2 linked regions of the Mytilus edulis genome follow. Each later gene encodes a partner of the first gene's protein in a complex. Links are inferred from orthologs where the notes say so. Each region holds a gene or a part of one and is shown on either strand. Other genes may lie near its edges.

Evidence for each region. The genes of interacting proteins can lie anywhere in the genome.
Region 2: the proteins of catenin alpha-2-like (region 1) and catenin beta-like are in contact, whole or in part, in a crystal structure (PDB 5XA5), measured with the Caenorhabditis elegans proteins. The link is inferred for Mytilus edulis from reciprocal best matches to the Caenorhabditis elegans genes hmp-1 and hmp-2. Residues at the interface, in NP_505985.1 of Caenorhabditis elegans: Asn20, Val21, Gln24, Gln27, Leu28, Glu31, Val32, Ile35, Glu37, Thr38, Phe39, Pro40, Leu41, Lys42, Thr47, Leu50, Val51, Thr53, Leu54, Ala57, Val58, Asn60, Phe61, Thr64, Gly65, Ala68, Cys72, Leu85, Met99, Gly103; in NP_001252426.1 of Caenorhabditis elegans: Ser47, Ile48, Val49, Glu50, Met51, Met52, Gln53, Pro55, Thr56, Gln57, Gln58, Leu59, Lys60, Ser62, Val63, Met64, Asp65, Leu66, Leu67, Thr68, Tyr69, Glu70, Gly71, Ser72.

Annotation. Positions count from the first base shown.
Region 1 is NC_092347.1:75,450,280-75,460,752, reverse strand, and holds the start of catenin alpha-2-like, read right to left. Parts: upstream 4,537-10,473; 5' UTR 4,427-4,536; intron 305-4,426; 5' UTR 293-304; coding exon 182-292; intron 1-181. UniProt on the Caenorhabditis elegans protein: Required for cell migration during body enclosure and cell shape changes during body elongation. Required for proper localization of other junctional components, such as pac-1.
Region 2 is NC_092357.1:59,221,464-59,232,497, reverse strand, and holds the start of catenin beta-like, read left to right. Parts: upstream 1-5,929; 5' UTR 5,930-6,138; intron 6,139-11,034. Other genes in the region: uncharacterized methyltransferase YdaC-like, read right to left, coding at 1,640-1,775, 2,921-3,001. UniProt on the Caenorhabditis elegans protein: Required for cell migration during body enclosure and cell shape changes during body elongation. Plays a role in recruitment of the cadherin protein hmr-1 to adherens junctions.

The DNA of each region.
Region 1 (10,473 bases):
AACTGTCTGTATTTAATCAGCATGCTTTGCCATTTTTTTGTAACAGAAAATTGATGATTTTGAAAAAATCTGCATAACATGTCTACCACAAGGCACTAAATTTAACATGTTTAAATAGATTTAACCACCAATAATTTATGAATGTATAAAAGTCTCATATGTTCCTAAAAGACAATTTTACCTGTGTAACTAATGGTTCTAGAGTTTTTTCTACAGACTTTGTTTTGATTTCCAAATTCTTTGGATCCCAACGGACTTGAAGTGTCCCCATTTGTGGGGCATTCAATGCCATTGTGTCTTTATTCTGAAAAAAGATTATATTATGTAAACATAATTATATATAAGTAATTAGTCAAATGCAAAAAACAACTAGGGCTCCCCTTTATCAATCATCTTACTTCTATTCCATTGTATTCAATCAGAATCTAATAGTGTCTCAATAGAAAATTTGATGATATGGAAACTATTTAGACTGATTAGTGGTCCTATCATATCCAGCATTGAAAGCAAATGACAAGAACATGTTCATGTCTTCATGTTACAGAAATATTTCTATTTTGATTTTTGAACTCAACAGACAGTCTAAGATTATTTACCATTCAGTAAGATCAAATGCATGTAGCATTAATTTACCTATTAATAAGATTAGAGTTCTTAATTAATTGCTATGAACAGCCATTGAAAGAAATTCTGAATAAAAATTAATGTAACAATGAAACCAATAATGCTCCTAGAAACTAGCCAGTATTTTTCAAATATTTCCCATAATTTTGTAGCTCTTAGGTTCTTAGAATATTTTTTACTATCTGCAGTCCTTTATTATATAACTAAAGGCTCTAAAGAGCCTGTGTCGCTCACCTTGGTCTATGTGCATATTAAACAAGACAAGACAAGACAAGTTTATTAATACACTCAGGCACATTGTGTGCAACAAGAGCAACAAAATGTAGTATACAAAATAATACGTTGGTCAATAAATGTTACAAATAAAAAATAACGCAACCCTTTTATCGAAAAAGAGGCTTTCAGTTTCAGAACAAAGGACACAGATGGATTCATGACAAAATCATGTTTTGGTGATGATGATGTGTTTGTAGATCTTATTTTATTGAACATTCTTGTTGCTTACAATTATATCTATCTATAATGAACTTGGCCCAGTAATTACAGTGGAAAATATTTTGTAAAAATTTACAAAATTTATGAAAATTGTTAAAAATTGACCATTTTAGTCATGTTGACTTATTTTTAGGTCTTACTTTGCTGTAAATTATTGCTGTTTACAGTTTATTTCTATCTTAATAATATTTAAGATAATAACCAAAAGCTGCAAAATCTTCTTAAAACTACCAATTCAGGAGCAGCAACCCAACAAAGGGTTGTATGAATGGTATGAAAATTTCAGGGCAGATAGATCTTGACCTAATGAACAATATAATCCAGTTAGATTTGCTCTAAATGCTTTGGTTTAAGAGATATGAACCAAAAACTGCATTTTACCGTATGTACTATTTTTAGCTATGTCGACCAGCTTGGTTCGCAGACAGGGTCATCAGACACATTTTTGTAAACAACATTCCCTAATGATTATTGTGGACAAGTTTGGTTAAATATGATCAAATATGTCTTCGTTGTTTCAGAGGCTAAGATTTTTGTAAAAGATAAAAAAAAATTAGGAAAAATTGTTAAAAATTTACTATGAAGGGCAATAACTCCTAATGGACCAATTGACCATTTTGGTCATGTTGACTTATTTGTAGATCTCACTTTGCTGAACATTATTGCTGTTTACAGTTTATCTCTATCTATTATCAAATTCAGAGATATAAGCTAAAATCTACATTTTACCCAAATTTTTTATTTTTAGCCATGGCGGCCATCTTGGTTGGTTGGCAGGGTTATTGGACACATTTTTAAATTAGATACTCCAATGATGATTGTGGCTAAGTTTGGTTAAATTTGGCCCAGTTGTTTCAGAGGAGAAGATTTTTGTAAAAGTTAATTACGACGACGCCAAGGGATGAGAAAAATATATATTTTTGCTGATGATTGTCTGCTATACAGAAACATTTAAACACAATGGGACCACACTCTTTTATAACTAGATCTGGTTAGCCTAGAAACATGGGCCAATGACAGGGGTATGCGCTGTTTAACATTGTCATTTTGGGCCTTTTATAGCTGATTATGCGTAATTGGTTTTGCTCAGGCTTAAATCAAAATATTGTTTGTTTGCCCTTTACCGACCGACCCTATCAATTCGTTTCGCCTGAAAATCTTTTATTTGTATTTACCAGCAAGATTTTATTTTATTTTATTTTTTCGTTCCTACCAAAAATCTTATATTTGTATTTCCCGCTCAAAACTTTTTTACCGGAATCCTCGGGTTTTATCTTTACGTATAAGGTCCAGTCCGTTTGGTATCACCTGAGCGTTTGACATGAACACTTGCATTTGAAGTTTCAAAGCATTTGTTTGAAATCGATGTTGAACGCTTTCTGAAATCATGATATGAAGTACGTTACTCTGTACCTTTAAACTTAAAGAGCAGGGTTCATTTACAAAAAAGTTCGTTTGATACAAAAGTATTAACGTGTGTACAAACTAATTTGTAAACGGACGTTGTATTCTATGTAGGGATGTCCTTTTGTGATCCGCATATCAGAATGATTATGTTAACGATGCTGCTAAATTATTTATATCTGACATGAACCAAAAGTGACAAAACCCTGTAAAGTGGAGAATATCTGGCAGTAAAATCGCCAAGTTTTCCATACAGATCATTTATAAATGTGATGCAAAATACGTGACAATCGAGTTTTAAGTCTTATAGCATTTTTATTGGAAAAAAAGGCACACACGAAATTTGTAACACTCTAGGGACTTTTTCTACTAGTCATATATGTCTGCCCGGACATTATCTTACCAGTACAAAGTTATCTCTTATATATTTTTTTTTCAAAACTAATAGTCCCAGCGGAAAACTTATTTGCAAAAACAAAACGGACAAAAAAATGACATTATGCAGATTTTGTATCTATAAAATAAAATATTTTACCTACCTGCCTACACATGACAAATAATATACCGAGCCAAGTTATTTTTTTGGGGAAAAAAATTAAATATTGTACCTACCTACCTACCCTGTTTCAAAACATAGGGTCGGAAAAGGGCAAACAAACAATATTTTAATTTAGGCCTCATTGTTGAAGGCTGTACGGTGACCTATAGTTGTTAATTTCTGTGTCATTTTGGTCTATTGTGGAGAATTGTCTCATTGGCAATGCCAATCATTATCATACCAAATTTTTTTTTTTTAAGAAAACAGTATACCTGGCTTTCATTGGCTAGATCTATGATGGAATATGATGCAATTGAATCGAACCCTTATACATACACTGTAGAACAACATCAACCAACTAGAAAGAATCCAAAGAAAGAACTTGAAAACTGACAGTCCAGAAGAACAAGCCAAATACTGGTATTTCTAAATAAATTGGTTGAGGGTTTGGTCCCAGGTATCAAACCTGACAAATTTTTAGTTAAAGGCAAAACTAAAAGGATTTTAAAGCCCAAATATAGTTACCAACTCAGTAAAAAACAACTCAAAGGCAGTTGAAACAACAAACTGTAAAACTGAGCAATTTCTTCATCAAGACTGCGATTCATTGGAACCATCTCGAAAAAGATATACACATTGTGTGCGCCAAGTCAGTTGAGGACTTTAAAACAGCTCTCCAACGCTGTCAAATTATGGGAGCCCTCTCTCCCTACGAGTTCAAGCTAGTATTGGTACTTTCGAGGAAACGATACAGATAAGAGCAACAGTTTGGCAGCTAGGAGTAGGAGTCTACTGCCCTAGCCAAGCGTAATAAGGGCAGTACCTAAAATATATTTGTTTCAACTACAATTTTGACCCTACATTTTGTATATGAGGGGGGTTGGGCCTTTAATAGGACTCCGGGATCGGGTGTTTTTAAGCTTGGGATTTTGGGATTGACCCTTTCGGGATCCAGGAATTCTTTTTTCGAAATTTCGGGACCTCCTGATTTCGTGTTTTAACCCCGGAATTTCGGGATTTCATGTTTTTAAGCCCGGGATTTTTAGGATCAGGACCCCTCCTATCCCCCCTCTTATATGGACACAGAGCGAAATTACGAATGCTCATTTTATATTTTATAAATATGTATTAATACTTTTATAAATATGCATTAATACTTTTATACTATTAATAAGTATTAAATTAATAGCCTGTTTTTTTTCTAGCAGCCCAGACAAATGGTTGAAAATGAAATGCCTTGCTACACAGACACAGTGCAGCTATCAGGATAAAATAGTATACAATTGCTTGAACTATTTGGTAAAGATATTCTTTTCTATTGATGCGAAACGCAAAGACTTATGTTCGACGTGAATTCCTACCAACCTGTTTCAGAATGTTTGTAATATTTCTAGTGAATAATTCGCTTCCGGACTCATTAGTCACAACATCCGCTTTTCCACTTCCGTTTATAAATTCCTCCCAGGCAAATAATAAATGCTGAAAACGTTTTATTGATAGTTTGATATTTGATTTAACACGACATAGTATAATTAAACAATAAATTATTGATGACTACAAATTAAGCTACAGACAATAAATAATATAGAATAACAAATAATATATTTATATTTCATACATATTTTACGAAGTGGGTAATTATTATAGAACAGCTAAGAATGTGATCACGTGTTTATAGGAATTCGGTGCGCGACATTACGAAAACTTCCCTCTGTCGTCTAACAAAATAATAATACACAGGGGCAAGGATTTAATTGTATAGTCTCACTATACAAATCCTTGACAGGGGTTAAATGTAAACCAAAAACCGAGTTGGATGATCATTACCAATCTTGGCACAGATCATTGGAGACAATTTAATAGCACTGTTTTAATTTTAAAAAACAAGATCACTGATGATGGTCCGATAAAACGCCTAGATTCAATTACCAGTGGCGGATCCAGGGAAAAGGGGGGGGGGGGGTTGTAACCCCCTTTTTTGGACGATCAATGCATATGTGAATGGGACATGTGGTTCCCTCCCCCCCCCCTTATCCAGTATTAGGAACTCCCCTTTTTAAAATGGCTGGATCCGCCCCCTGCCTATTATTTAATTGATTGAGTTAATACTTTTCAATTTATATTTCATAGTGCGTCTTTCTATGTTGTAATGTTACACATACGTTGTTTCAGTTGAAACCTATTAAAACGTTTTAAACCCGCTGCATTTGTTTGCACCTGTCCTAAGTCAGAAACCTGATGTTCAGTAGTCGCCGTTTGTTGATTTGGTTCATAAGTGTTTCTCGTTTCTCGTTTCAGATTTTCAATTAGACTGTTGGCATGGTTTTCCTGTTTTAATGATTTTACACTAAGTCTAGTCATTTTTTGGGCCCTTTATAGCTTGCAGTTCGGTGTGCGCCAAGGCTCCGTGTTGAAGACCTTATACATAAAATGGGACACTGTATCGAAGGAAAAGTCAATAAGTGGATTGCAAGCATTCTGTCTCGTAAGTCGAAGCAGAAGTTGTGGATGGAGAAAGCACATCACATATTGATGTAGTCTTACTAGAGTCTGGAGTACCACAAGCCTCAGTACTTGGGCCTTCACTATTCCTCTTTTACATTAAGTGATTACATCTACTGTCCGACTATTTGTAGATGATACAATAGCTTACCTCACAATATCATCAGACAAAGATTCACAGGTTTTACAACTTCATAGAGCTTACATGATCATATTCTTGAATCAGTCAGAAGTGCAATATACATAAGACTGCAAATTTACATCAGAACACAGAGGGAATGATAATGTATAAATGAAAAATATAAATATTAAATAACAAGACAAATTGAACAATTGGTTTCCTAAAAATAAATTTAAACAAATGATCAATTTTAGTAAAGGAGAATGCCTACAAAACACTATTACGACCAATTGTAGAATACGCCATTCCAGGATGGGATCTATAATTTAAGACAGAGACTGACAGACTCGAGATGACCCAAAAGAAGAGGAGTTCGCTATGTATCCAACAAACATCATAACCACTGAAACGTTAGTAGTGCGATGTTCAAACACCTTAAAAGGACATCCATAGATCAAAGAAGGAAAGAAGCGAGAATAACCCTGCTCAACAACATAGAAACAACAAAGTCGCAATGCCAAAGGGAGGTCGCCTCTTTCAACTAAAAACGACTGTCAAAAATATGCACGACAAATTCTTCCAGGTACCATCGACATACTGTTATTATCGCAAACCTCATTCTTCCGAAGAACCATACGATATTTGAACGCTATTTGACCTGGGTTGAACTAGATTAAAATTAAGAGAGGGGATGGTATGTGCACCAAACACATGCCAGTATAAATAGTTCGTTGGCAGAAGTAGAAACAGAAGTACCATTCCGGAGCATCAGATATCATATCTGGTATTTGGCGGGGAAAGGGACATGTGTGATCTTACTCGCTCTGGAAGAGTATGCAGACCCTGCTACACACGTGGCACCGGTCGTGTTGATGATGTTAGTACAAACCCGGTGATAAGTCCATTTCGGTAGGTCACTTTTGAGAAACGAGGACGCAGTTGTAGATTTTATGTAATTTATATATGCAAGTCATAATCCATGAAAACAATTCTGATAGTGAGTTTAAAGCATTGTCTATTGCTTGGATTAAGCCTGTAAGTTCCTTATATTTCAGCTCAAAGTTAATGTTTTTTTTTTATTTACGACTTGACATCCGATTTGTTTTAAATAACATCAATGAAATCTATGCATTTGCATAGGGATACATATTTAAAAACTGCTTTCTCCAGGGTTGGAACCACCTTTCAAAAATTGCTGGATAAGCCACTGGAGGGGTCTGATACAAGTTTTCTACTTCTATCCAAACTTTGCCCCAAGATTGTAGTATACAGTATCCGCATGCATGTCATCCTTCCAACTTTGCATAAGTTACCTATAATTGTACATATTGCCACTTTTTTTTAATCCATAATATATAAGAACTATTTGCATTTGAAGGTTAAAATTGGAAGTTATGTTTAGTATGCTCCGGCTTTTTTGGATGTTCAGCAGTACATCATTCGATCAACAGATACATTTTAACGACAGTGATAGCTAATAGTAATTAAAAAAATATATGACCGGGATAATGTGGCAAAGTATCTGTCAATAAAACCGAGACGGATAAAAATAAAAACAATTTTACTGACCACATACACACATTGTTTTACAACGAAAAATGTGACAGCACACTTTAAATTCGAATTCGAATAGATGTGGATGATAAGTTATGGTATAACAAGCCTATGAAAGTCATAGTATAAGTATACTTCATCTTATCGCAGTTTCAGAAAATAGGAGCAACGAGTTGAAGAGAAAGTGGGAATAATTGACAAAGAAGGTATTGTATACGATTATCATGTATGAGTGAAAAGATTAACGCATTGGTAAGGGGGAAGTAAAAAAATCATAGAAACTTTAAGGATGTTTTTGTCTGTTAAGAGGTTAGTGTTTATTATACTATTTGTATATTATAACAAAAGACCTTCTGTCTGTAGTCCTACGTACAAATTATACAAAATTTGATTTGCTGGTCGGGGAGTCATAGACTGTAAGTTTTGTTGTTGCAAATGGGGTAGAGAACTGAACGGGCAGTTGAGTATGTAAATTTTGTTGTTGTACGACGAGAAGAGTATATAAGTTTTGTTGTTGTGCGGGGAGTATAGTATATAAGTTTTGTCGTGTAAGGGGAGTAGAGTATGTATGTTTAGTAGTTGTACGGGGAGTAGAGTATGTAAGTTTTGTAGTTGTACGGGGAGTATAGAAGGTAAGTTGTGTTGTTATACGGGGAGTAGGGTTTGTAAGTTTTGTTGTTGTACAGGGAGTATAGAAGGTAAGTTGTTTTGTTATACGGGGAGTAGAGTTTGTAAGTTTTGTTGTTGTACGGAGAGTAGAGAATGTAAGTTTGGTTGTTGTACGGGGAGTAGAGTATGTAAGTTTTGTAGTTGTACGGGGATTAAAGTATGTACGTTTTGTTGTACGGGGAGTAGAGAAGGTAAGTTTTGTTGTTTTACGGGGAGTAGAGAAGGTAAGTTTTGTTGTTTTACGGGGAGTAGAGAATGTAAGTTTTTTTGTTGTACAGGAAGTAGAGAATTTAAGTTTTGTTGTTGTATGGGGAGTAGAGTATGCAAGTTTTGTTGTTGTACAGGGAGTAGATGATGTAATTTTTGTTATTATACGGGGAGTAGAGAAGGTAAGTTTGGTTGTTGTACAGGGAGAAGATGACGTAAGTTGTGTTGTTGTACAGGGAGTAGAGAATTTAAGTTTTGTTGTTGTACGGGGAGGAGATAATGTAAGTTTTGTTGTTGTACAGGGAGTAGAGAATGTAAGTTTGGTTGTTGTACGGGGAGTAGATAATGTAAGTTTTGTTGTTGTACAGGGAGTAGATTATGTAAGTTTGGTTGTTATACTCGGAGTAGAGAAGGTAAGCTGTGTTGTTATACGGGGAGTAGAGTATGTAAGTTTTGTTGTTGTACGGGGTGTAGAGTATGTAAGTTTGGTTGTTGTACAGGGAGTAGAAAATTTAAGTTTTGTTGTTGTACGTTGAGTAGATAATTTAAGTTTTGTTGTTGTACGAATAGTAGAGTATGTCAGTTTTGTTGTCGTACGGGGAGTGGAGAATGTAAGTTTGGTTGTTGACGTGGAGTATAGAAGGTAAGTTGCGTTGTTATACGGGGAGTATAGAACGTAAGCTGTGTTGTCATACGGAGAGTAGAGTTTGTAAGTTTGGTTGTTGTACAGAGAGTAAAGAATGTAAGTTTGGTTGTTGTACGAGGAGTAGAGTATGTAAGTTTTGTTGTTGTACAGGGAGTTTGGTTGTTGTACGGAGAGTCGAGTATGCAAGTTTGGTTGTTGTACAGGGAGTAGAGAATGTAAGTTTGGTTGTTGTACGGGGAGTTGAGTATGTAAGTTTGGTTGTTGTACGGGGAGTGGAGTATGTAAGTTTTGTTGTACAGGAAATGAATGATGTACGTTTTGTTGTTGTACAGGGAGTAGATAATGTTAGTTTGGTTATTGTACAGGGAGTTGAGTATGTAAGTTTGGTTGTTGTACGGGGAGTAGAGTATGTAAGTTTTGTTGTTGTACAGGAAGTAGATGATGTACGTTTTGTTGTTGTAAGGGGAGTAGAGAATGTATGTTTGGTTGTTGTACGGGGAGTGAAGTATGTAAGTTTGGTTGTTGTACAGGGAGTAAAGAATGTATGTTTCGTTGTTGTACGGAGTGTGGAGTAAATAAGTTTGGTTTATGTACAGGAAGTAGAGAATGTAAGTTTGGTTATTGTACAGGGAGTAGATAATTTACGTTTTGTTGTTGTACGGGGAGTAGAGAATGTAAGTTCTGTTGTTTTACAGAGAGTAAATGATGTAAGTTTTGGCGTTGTACGGGGAGTAAAGTTTGTAAGTTTGGTAGTTGTACGGGGAGTAGAGAATGTATGTTTTGTAGATGTACGGGGAGTAGAGAATGTAAGTTTTGTAGTTGTACGGTGAGTAGAAAATGTAAGTTTTGTAGTTGTACGGTGAGTAGAGTATGTAAGTTTTGTTGTTGTAAGAGGAGTAGATAATGTAAGTTTTGTAGTTGTATGGGGAGTAGAGAATGTAAGTTTTTTTGTTGTACAGGAAGTAGAGAATTTAAGTTTTGTTGTTGTATGAGGAGTAGAGTATGCAAGTTTTGTTGTTGTATGGGGAGTAAGGTATGCAAGTTTTGTTGTTTTACGGGGAGTAGAGAAGGTAAGTTTGGTTGTTGTACAGAGAGAAGATGACGTAAGTTGTGTTGTTGTACAAGGAGTAGAGAATTTAAGTTTTGTTGTTGTACGGGGAGTAGATGATGTAAGTTTGGTTGTTATACGGGAAGTAGATAATGTAAGTTTTGTTGTTGTACGGGAAGTAGATAATGTAAGTTTTGTTGTTGTACGGGGTGTAGATTATGTAAGTTTTGTTGTTATACTCGGAGTAGAGAAGGCAAGTTTGGTTGTTGTATAGGGAGTAGAGAATTTAAGTTTTTTTGTTGTACAGGAAGTAGAGAATTTAAGTTTTGTTGTTGTATGGGGAGTAGAGTATGCAAGTTTTGTTGTTGTACAGGGAGTAGATGATGTAATTTTTGTTGCTATACGGGGAGTAGAGAAGGTAAGTTTGGTTGTTGTACAGGGAGAAGATGACGTAAGTTGTGTTGTTGTACGGGGAGTAGATAATGTAAGTTTTGTTAACGTACGGGGAGTAGAGAATGTAAGTTTTGTTGTTGTACGGGGAGAAGGGAATGTAAGTTTTGTTGTTGTACGGGGAGTAGAGAATGTAAGTTTTGTTGTTGTACAGGGAGTAGAGAATGTAAGTTTTGTTGTTGTACAGGGAGTAGAGAATGTAAGTTTTATTGTTG
Region 2 (11,034 bases), on another chromosome or scaffold:
TCTTTTTCACACAAAAAACGGTAACCATAATTATTTGGAACCTCTGATGAATCACGATAAGGATATTTTGACGAATCACAGTAACATTTTCGTCAATATCAAGCTAGCAGAAGCCGAAAATGAGCGTTTGACGACTGACGGTAAAATATTATCCAAATCCTCCCGAGGCACCTGTCGGAACTTCCAATTGATTTGGGATTTTGTTTGTATATATATATTTGTCTTTTATTTACTTTTCACTTTATTAATAAAATTAATGGTACCAATTTTCTTGCACCAGATGCGCATTTCGACAGTACACTGTGGTAAAAAAAAACACGTCTCATTTCCATATGTTTGCCATATTTCACGTCTGAATTATTTTGTACTGCATTTTCGATTAATTTCTAAGAAAGAAAATTAACATTGACATCTTCAAACAATATATATAGGCATATTTCAACCTGTATAGATTATATTTAATTTTAATATGACGTGCTTCGTTCGCTTTGTGGACAAACCGATGTTCTAAATCCAATAAAATTTGTTTGCACATGCGTATATTGACTACTGCAGAATAATGAATTTTTTCAAATTGGCATGCATTTAATATATTTCATTGACTTAAAACACTTCCAAAATTCATTTATTATGACAGTAATGTGTTGCATTCCGAAATTGACATATTTGACCTAGATACGACAACCATTCATTTTGACTGTTCAAACTCCTCCCTCTGAAAAATCACAGTGCAAGTCGTTTGCTTCTTTACAAACAAAAAAGTGAGGTTCATGGAAGAGCCTACACAAACGATCTACACTTATACACATCAGACATAGAAATTACCTTAATTGTCCTAATCAGAATCGAAATAATTGATGCAAACTATACTTTATTGTAGTTTTAACATAGTTAGGCATTATATTCGTGTTAGTTTAGCCCTCACTATCGCTCGGGCAAAAATAATCACGAATATAATGCCTACCCATGTTAAAACTACGATAAAGTATACCTCGCATCAATCATTTTTTAGATTAGATTGGACGTTATCCCAATCTAATTAAAAACCGATCTCTCACCGCTCCTGTTTCTGATATGTCGCGTAGGAGATCTAACGAAACCCGCTTTGAGGTCACATGGGAGTGACCTCGTAGGTGTGTCTTTTTCGACCAATGAAATCGAGTCTTCCACGATCTTGGAAGTTTAACGTAAGGCAAAGGGATGTAACTCATTTTATTTACGACGAAATCGTCAGTCAAAATAATTCATAAACTTTTTTGATTGGCTTATTAATAGGTCGTCAACTCATTTGCATATCTTTATAAATTCATAACTTTTAGTTCACTCGCATGTGACCTCAAAGCCGGTTTCGTTAGATCTCCCACGCGACATATCAGAAACAGGAGCGATGAGAGATCGGTTTTTAATTAGATTGACGTTATCCCAATTACAATTATACAATATACAAACAAAGCAAGCTAGCTAACAAAAGTCTTACTTTACCAGCATTTGGAAATTATCTATCAAGTGGTCTTTAAGGAATAAATGAGATGAGGGACCCCAATCTAGACCCTCGTGAGAATCGCCTTACCCGTCACATATTTACAAGCTCACCTGTCACATATTTACAAGCTTACCCGTCACATATTTACAAGCTTACCCGTCACATGTTTACACGCAGCTTCAAGTCCAACTCCTGGTCCAAACCCGACCTCTAAAACATTGTGGTGTGGTTCAATCTGACACAGTTTTACAGCACTTTCTTCTAAAATCACATTTCGTCTCAAAAAGATATTCTGAATTTAAAATTTAAAAACAAAATTGTTGATGTGATTGGTGTCAAGATGTTAATAAGTTTCAAAATTTTCTTTTCATAACCTGATGGAAGATTTAAGATGTGAACAATACATCTGATAAAAATTAAGCAACCTATATTATTTTTCTCGTTTGAATTGGTTTACATTGTCATTTCTGGGCCTTTTATGGCTGACTATGCAGTATGGGGTTTGCTCATTGTTGAAGGCCGTACGGTGACCTATAGTTGTTAATGTATGTGTCATCTATGGGTTGGTGGTAAATAACCATATTCTAGGAACAATAAATATGATTTCCGTATTATCTCTGCTTTATTAAAATTGTAAACGTATGCATGGTGGTTCTGTGAAAGTTTCAGCCTTTAATTAAAAGGAATTGTGTTTATCTATAGCGTGCAATCATAAGAAAATAAGAAATACCACACCTCTTGATGTGCTTAGTACATAATGCAGTAATTTTGGACATGTCCAAAACGCACGGCTTCCGTTACGTTTTAAATTCAGTTTGGATATTATGTCTGAATTCGAGGTTTTACCATACATGCAAAAATGTAAAAAAATCATTTAAATACAGTAAAATGGGTATAATTATTCATAAAACTTCGAAGCGTGATAGCATCCTTGTTAATACAGGAAGCAGTTACAAAGCAATAGACCACTTTCGAGTTCATCCGTCACCGGAAAAAACTCGTCAATTATACGCGCCTTTATCACCGTCATTTTTGCGTTTAGGGGCGTCGTCACTTCCTTCCAATGTTGAGCGAGTGGTTGGAAAACTATAATTCTATATTGTACGAATTATTCGGCAAATTGAATTCTCAAAATTGACAATCAACACTGCTGTCATTAGGGAATTGTCAGTAAGTACCTACAGAGCAACCATTATTTCTAGGTTATCCTGCACAAAGACGATCACTAAGACGCTTGATGAACGTAAATAGTGCAGGGATACAGGCGAGCCCCTCTATCTGGTAAGTGACGTCATAAAGGCGTGCATAATTGACGAGTTTTTGCCGGTGACGGATGAACTCGAAAGTGGTCTATTCGATTCATTTCATATTGAAGTACTGTCAATTTGTATTGCAGCATTCTGATGTACTATAGTATATATTAAGACAAATATTTACCTTCGTAACATACCAACCAAAGAAGCCACTTCCAGGTTTCCGCAGATTCTGTGCTAAATATTCTCTAAAGATATTAGTCATCCTCCTGAATATATGAAAGTATATAGATAGATATAAGAAGATGTGGTATGAATGCCAATGAGACAACTCTCCATCCAAGTCAAGATTTGTGAAAGTAAACCATTATAGGTCAAAGTACGACCTTCAACACGGAGCCTTTGCTCACACAGAAGAGCTCAGCAAGCTATTTAGGGTCCCAAATATTACCAGTGTAAATCCATTCAAACGGGAAAATTAATGGTCTAATTTATATTAAAAACGAGAAACGTGAAACAGTTATATATGAACCACATCCAGGGGCGGATCCAGCCATTTTAAAAAGTGGGGGTTCCCAACCCAGGACAAAGGGGGGGGGGGGGGGGGGGGGGGGTCCAACTATATGTTCCCATTCAAATGCATTGATCGACCAAAGAAAAGGGGGGTTCCAACCCCCGGACCCCCCCCCCCCTGGATCCGCCAATGACATCAACAAACTAAAACTACTGCACATCAGATTCTTGAACATAGTTATCAGAATAAAAATAAAGAAATTTGTTGAGGTTTTCAAAGGGATTAAAATTTGCCAATGTGCACAAGTACAATGTGCTTATCAAGGGTTTGAGGTATGTAGGGGGGGTTCTGAGACAAGTGCCTGTGTTTGAGGAAAGGGAGGCGCAATTTTCCGAAAAAGTTATTACCAAGGGTAAGCCGTTTACACCCCCTGAATCCTCCACTGATGTCATAATACCATTATCGTCAGCAAATAAAATGTACAAAAACAGTGCCTACTAGTTATCATGAGTAATGAAATAACAGTACTGTAACTGAAGAGTTCTCGCCGTCAATTAGCAATTTGATGGTAGCAAATGCAATTGGACTGCATTTTGATTTTCTGTAGAGGAAGTAGGGATTTTAAAAATGATTGGATTGGCCTGGTCACACTAGAAAAACATAATTTTGATGATGTAACTAGATGCTCTTAAGAGCCTGTGTAGCTCGCCTGTCACGTGCATCTTCAACAATGGATATTCTACAAAACTGTACACGAACAAAGTTAATGATTGAACTCTCTTTTTTAAGGGGAAAAAGGGGGATATCGTGTTGGTGATCATTATTTTTCTGTTTACACTATCTCCCTTTCTTCTGTAGTCCCCCTCCCCAAACACAAAACAAATGGTAAAAAAAAATGTCCTTTATAGGCAACAACTTTTATGACTGACACTTCTTTCTTAATGCGGATCTTGTATTGCTTGTCAGCTTAGTATTTTAATGTTTCGAAGCATCTATTATAATGCGAAAGTAATAGAATGAAATTCAAAACAGCGTGGCTGTGGCCATTGATTGACACATTAAATTCATCCATTGACCGGGACAATTTACGTGAACGTTTGTATGTAACGACCACTGTTCACGACGTACCTACGATAGACTTTTAAACTGTGGGGTCACCAAAGGTTTCTTAACGCCTTTAATTATAAAATAATTCGAAAAATTAATCAGGAATAACCTTTATGTTTTGATTTATATAATTGATATAAATCAAAACATCGTGTTATTTCTGATTAATTTTTCGAATTACTTAATTAAGGCGTTGAGAACCTTTGGTGACCCCATAGTTTAAGTGTCTTTAAAAAGTACATAGTCAGTGGCGGATCCAGAAATTTTCATATGTGGGGGCCCACTGACTGACCTAAGAGGGGGCCCGCTCCAGTCACGCTTCAGTGATTCCCTATATAAGCAACCAAATTTTTCCCAAAAAGGGGGGGCCCGGGCCCCCCCTAAATCCGCCTCTGATAGTGAGCAGTGGTCGTTACATACAAACGTTCACCTAAATTGTCCCAGTCAATGGATGAATTTAATGTGTCAATCAATGGCCACAGCCACACTGTTTTGAATTTCATTCTATATAACGCCAAAAACTGTTATTGAAAGTCATCATTGTCAAGAGCAATAACTACAATAAGGAATCGACTGCATGACAATTTCATCCATTTGGCATGTTCGACACATTTGAAGTATCTTTTTCGTGTTGATTATTTCTGCTATTAAAAGCGTCTAGTATTTATCTACTATAGTTTTTATGATATAAACTGGCAATCGCACATAAACATTGATAAAATTAATTTCGGGGGAGCAAGATTTTGATGGTCAAGGGCATTACTACCCTTATGAAAGTTCATTATTCAGAATATGAATAAAATTTCTATCAAACCATCGTAACCGACATATATTTTTTTCTTTTATTGGAGGAAAAGGAACGACAAGGATTATGTTTTTTTTCCTGAAAAATATTCTGATCCCCCAATTGGATGAAAAAAAATTCTGGTCAAGCAGATAACAAAAAAAATATTCTGAATGCAGATTTCCCCTATACCTAAAATATACAGTCATTGTGTTGAATTTTGGAGAGAAAAAAATTACCCAGAAAATAACATATACCTCCTCCTTTTTAACTCTTTTAGAAGTTAAATGGTTGTTCCCTCACAAGACAACATAACTTTATTGATTCACATTCTGTGCATTTTCAAAATATTTTGACTTTGCACCCGACTATTTTTATATAATAAAACAAATCAAGGATTTGTACAAATCCCGAAGTTGAACAAATCAATAATCATGCTGTATAAAAACCAAACTAATTTTACTCGAGGGTCAAACAAAATACAAAAAAAACCCAATAATTCTATTTTTTTTAATTTTTTTTATTGTTATGGGTGTTATTTTATTTTATTGTAACAGTAATATGTGTTCAATTGTAACAAACCGTGATGCATGAGGAAAACATGGAAAGAGTATTTCTAAACAATGCGGATGAATTCGACTGTTAACCTTTTATTTAATATTGCAGTCATATCTAGTATTTCCTTATTGTAAAAATCATGAGAATAATAAAATAAAATATTTTTCATGTATATTAATTCAATTTTTAAAGAGAAAGACAAATATTACATGACCATAGAACTATTTTTTAATGTATAATTTGGCCTACAGGTAAATAGGTCAAGTAACAGGTGCTTGTTTAAGAGCGCATGCGTGACAGATTAAATTGAATCGCCATCTTGGAATTTGAATGATTCAGTTCTGCTGTAATGTGAAGTTAATTTCAAGCATTCAAAGATTGTGTTTGTAAACTGAGTATTTCGAAAGCCACCTTTGGTTCAAGGCGGCAGTTATTTTCGGTAGGTACTAAGTAAAGGTATACAACAGGCCAATATTCCCTTTGTGACCTATATTTTCTCGAACCAAGTTATTCTCCTTTGTTGACGGTTGGGTGTTCAAATACAACGGCTTACTCTCTGCAATACAATAAATAATACCGGTAGTTGCATAGTTGCACAAACTTGGGGTCGATGGAAAATACCCGTAGTAACCACAATATAAGGTTTGCTACTTGCATGAAAATAATTTCAAAAAGGGGGAAGTGACAAGTGGACGAAAATTTATGATACATGCGAAGTATGACGCATGAAATTACCGGCGTCAGAAATTTTATAGCTGGTGCTTTATGGTCAAACCTTTGGTCCTGTTCAACTAAAAATCGTGACTAGAACAAGGTTTTTAGAGCATGGCAGGTACAAGTCTAAATAATGATGAATGAAGTCTTGATAGGCTATTTTATGTTTTTGCTTTTGCCCTGGCTTTGACTATCTTGTTAAATAAAGTTTAAATTTTCTTTTGAATTTCAACTGAAAGAATGAGCGTTGTGAAGTTGCAGGAAGGCGTCAAAGCAAAAAATAAAATTGTTTTTAATAAATTTATTTGGACTAGGCTGGTTACCAGGTACTAACTATAGTCACCGTCAGCTGAAATTCGTAGCGGTTATCGGTAAAAATAATCTAAACTATCAATCGCGTTCACTCGAGATATAGTTTTTCACATTCCATTCATAAATCGCAAAAAGAAAAACCACTCTCGATCGATGTTCAATGATCATTTTATTTCTAAAAATATGACAGTTTGAAACGAATTTACCTTGCAAGCAACATTTTTCACTTTCAATTAAAATAAATCACTTCTCGTTATCTTTAATCAAAGTTTATTTTAATTTTTTCAACTACAAATACTCTCATTCATAATTTTCATCGTAAATATCTTTAGCAATGTGTATTCAATTCCCAGTGATTTTCCAACCCTCATTTTGGGGCCGAATTTCGGCCCCATTCCCAAAGAGAAATATGCTCTTTTTTTCCCAATTTTCAGCTCTAAAATTCCCAATCGTATATGGACATCGTCGCGAGATTTTGTTATTGTCGTATCTCCGTATCATGTACTATTTTGTTGACAAATCTCTGAGCGTTCGGGGTATTTCGGGAGTTATCATTATCGTTCACTTAAGACTATGATTGGTTTGCAATCTTTTTTGGATTGCATTGCATTGCAATCTACGATATTCTGGTCACGTTTGCGCTTGAAACATCCGAATGAATAATTCAATGACAAAGCAAAAAAATGAGACATAATGTAAACAAAATGAACGTAGATCATGTCTCATAATTCCAAATATTACACAAAGAAGCTAAAGGCGGCGGACGGTAGTAAATGCTGGAAGCTGAAAGCTTTTGGATTCAAAAAGTCGTTTCTACTTCCTTCTGATGAAACAAGTGAAAGAAGGAAAAGACCGACTCTCAGATACAGAACTGGAACAACTAGTTGACATGTTTAAAAATAAACATGAAGGAAAACTTGGAATTTTAAATAAAACTAAAAAATAAATGCTTCAGATTTCAAATGTGTCTTTTTAGAATTTCTATAGATTCTCATCATTATAAATAGAATCAGAAGGGATAGGTTGAATTTTACCTTTCAAGAGTAAAGTTACAAAGCTTGAGTGCATGCAAATGTGTCCTCAGACACATTCAACTTTTATTTTTAATCCTTTTCCTTAAAAAGATAGCTTATTTTGTACGCAATTCATGCAGTTAATCCTTCTCAGAATGCAGGATTTTGCACCTAATTTTCAAAATTTTCCAAACCCCCCTAGCGAGGCGCACACGGCTTACGCCGTGTGCCCGCCCTCGTAAAGACCATTCATATTTTTCCCAAACCATAATTTTTTTCCCAATTGCATGGGCCCCAGGACCCTTCCCCTAAACACCAGGAAAATCACTGATTCCATCACGTGTATTGAACAGGTTCATTGGTCGTGTTTAAATAGATTCTTCTTTAGACCAATGAAAAAATTCGTTATATAAATAGTCAAGTAATCACACACACGATGCCTAACTTAAATAGAATGTATTTGCGATCTATTTCTTCAATTTCTGCACTGAAGTTTTTAATTTTTTTAATTTTTTCTAAAAATATCTATCTTCTTGATGATCATTTACGCTATTACATGATAACATAGTCCGATAAGGCTGAGATAAGCGTGGCTCAGGTAAAACTATATTATCAGATATTGCGTAACACTGAGTGACCTCTCAGCTGTGATCAGCATGTCAGCAACTTGACAATTTTAACAAATTTATAATGAAAATGTGAAAATTAACACGCTGCGGGATCAAGTAGTGAGGGACAGCAGCCAATTCAGACGCTGCGGGATTAACGAAAATATTATGAAGGCGCTGCGGTACCCCAGCATCATATCGGCCTGAGGAGAACACTGAGTTAATATGAATGTTTTGATATATCGTAACAGTTTCAGACAGGTATTGATTTCAAAGAATATAAAGCTGACTATTTTGTCGATAAAACTAGATATATGTAGCTGACATGATTTCAATTAAAGTAAGGTCACCAATTTCCTGGTATCAAATAATTTGATAAACCCAACAATGAAATGCCATATGACCTTTTACATTGAAGGGTTAAATTTGCATTAAGTCATGTTCAGACCCTTTAACAGAAAATAAAGGAATATGGAGAGAACGTGCACGGGGCCTGATCGCACTCAAAGTCGATGAAAAAAATACAAATTATCAATCCAAGTGGTCAAAGTTTTTATTTCTTTTCTTCATTTTGATAGTTGCTGGAGGGTCTTCAACAATAAAAGAATCATTAATACTGTTAAAACAAGGTCAAGATGGTCCCTAGTGTCAACTTAAGCAGTACAAGTACTGAAGGTATAATACTGCATTTATTTTTTTTTTATATTTTAATCTAGCCATAAAAAAAAATCACCCAAGTCTTAGCACAAGACAAGATAGACAGACAGATCCTGTATTTATGATTATGAGAATTACAATTTTTGCTTTATCCTACATATCAGTCTTTTAATGTTGTCCCTAAAATCTACAAGTCTTAAATTACAATGAATCAATGTTTTTGTTTTGAGACCAGAATATCATCGAAAAAATAGCTAAAAATTAATTATGTTTCAATTTAAGAAAGAGCCTAGGAAACGCTCAGAATGCACGATTTTGCGTTATTTCCTCAGAGCTTTCCCTTGAGCAACCCCCAGACCCCTCGCCAAAATTTTTTTGCCTCACTGCGCTCTGCGAATATATTTTACCTCACTATTAAAAGAGGCTAGTTAGGCCCTGTCCTCAAAGTTCTTTTGTTGGACCATACTCTTTCATGTATGAATTTAATTCCTTATTTGGAAGGAGAATGAACTAGTTCTTTTGATTATAATACTATACTTAAGCGGTAGTTTTATTACCAGAATATAATGTGAAACAAATATTAAAGCAAATTGGCATGAAAATGAGATTTTCTCTAATAAAATATTTTTCAACCTAAACCCGTATGATGGCTTATCTGCCATTTCAGTGTACACAAATGTACATTGTTGGTCATGTCTGGCAAATATAATCATTTCCAGACCCTTTGGCTGTATACAGTTACTGTACACTGTTACTATACAGACACATGTCATGTTTGTGTTTTTCTCTAATGAACTTGACTTGCTTGATTTATAGACACTTGCACTTTTAATTTTGGTACACTTTTTGGAGCAGAGCTGCATGTACAACATGTAGTTGAATTAACCAGCACATGACAAAGTCAATTAATGTGCCATATTTGCACTTTGAGCCAATGCACCCAAACTAAAATAAACTGAAATTCTCACTATATTAAATTTTGAAAAGCAATTAACTTGAAATAACACCATATTAAAAAGTTTCACAATTTAATACCTGCTTTGGAACACCTGGGGCACATATCAAGGATAAGCATAAAATTTAGTGATTTTCCAATATTTTGAATGCTGAAAATTCATCAAGTACATGTATTTAAATAACATCTTTCAAATTTTATATAAAAATATAGACTAACTGACTGATCTTGCTCTCTTTGGCTTGCAGTCCGACAGCTGTTGCATCCAATCGCTGTTACTAATATGTTCAACATGACAATATTGCATATTTAATTTAATGAGCTATACATGTACATGTCAAATTCAAATTGTATTTCAAAATGGTGATAGAAGCTTTATATCTGTTGAAGGAATGTTAAAAGTTCAACAGTAATACAAAATTAACATAACAAATAAAGGGAGATAATAACCAAGGAGACATGGTTAAAATTGAAATTGGGTTATCTTCCCTTGAAACTGTATAAAAACATATTTTCCATGTAGTTGTTATATTTAACAAAGTATTTTACATTGATAAATTTTATCAAGTTTAAAGTTATTTTAGATCTGTAACTTAAAGATTTATAAACTGTTCTATAAAGATTCAAATACCCTGGTAACAGTTTTATGGCTTTTAAGAAAAGGCGTCTTAAAGCTTGGTTTCAGACCCCTTGAGGCTCTGCTGATTTCTGATCGGCCTCAGGATACCCAATGTGTGGAACTTAATTGAATGTAAAGTTTTTAGTTACATGTTATCTTTCATGGTTTCAAATTTTAAGCCAATTGCTGAACTAAGTTATAAGTAAAGGAAAGATTCCCTGTCCCCACAAGTTAATCAAATAAGAGATCATAACAAACTCCTGTGTTAGAAGCAGAAACTAATTAGTTGCAAGTGAAATCACATTATAATATAACAAAAATAGTGCATGATTCTCATTTGATCTAATTATAGAAAATTAAGTGTTAAGAAGTATCTATATGTCTTAATGTTATACATGTAATAGGCTTTTGTAGGCCATGAGTAAGAAGCATTTTCTACATGCTCATTCATGTAACA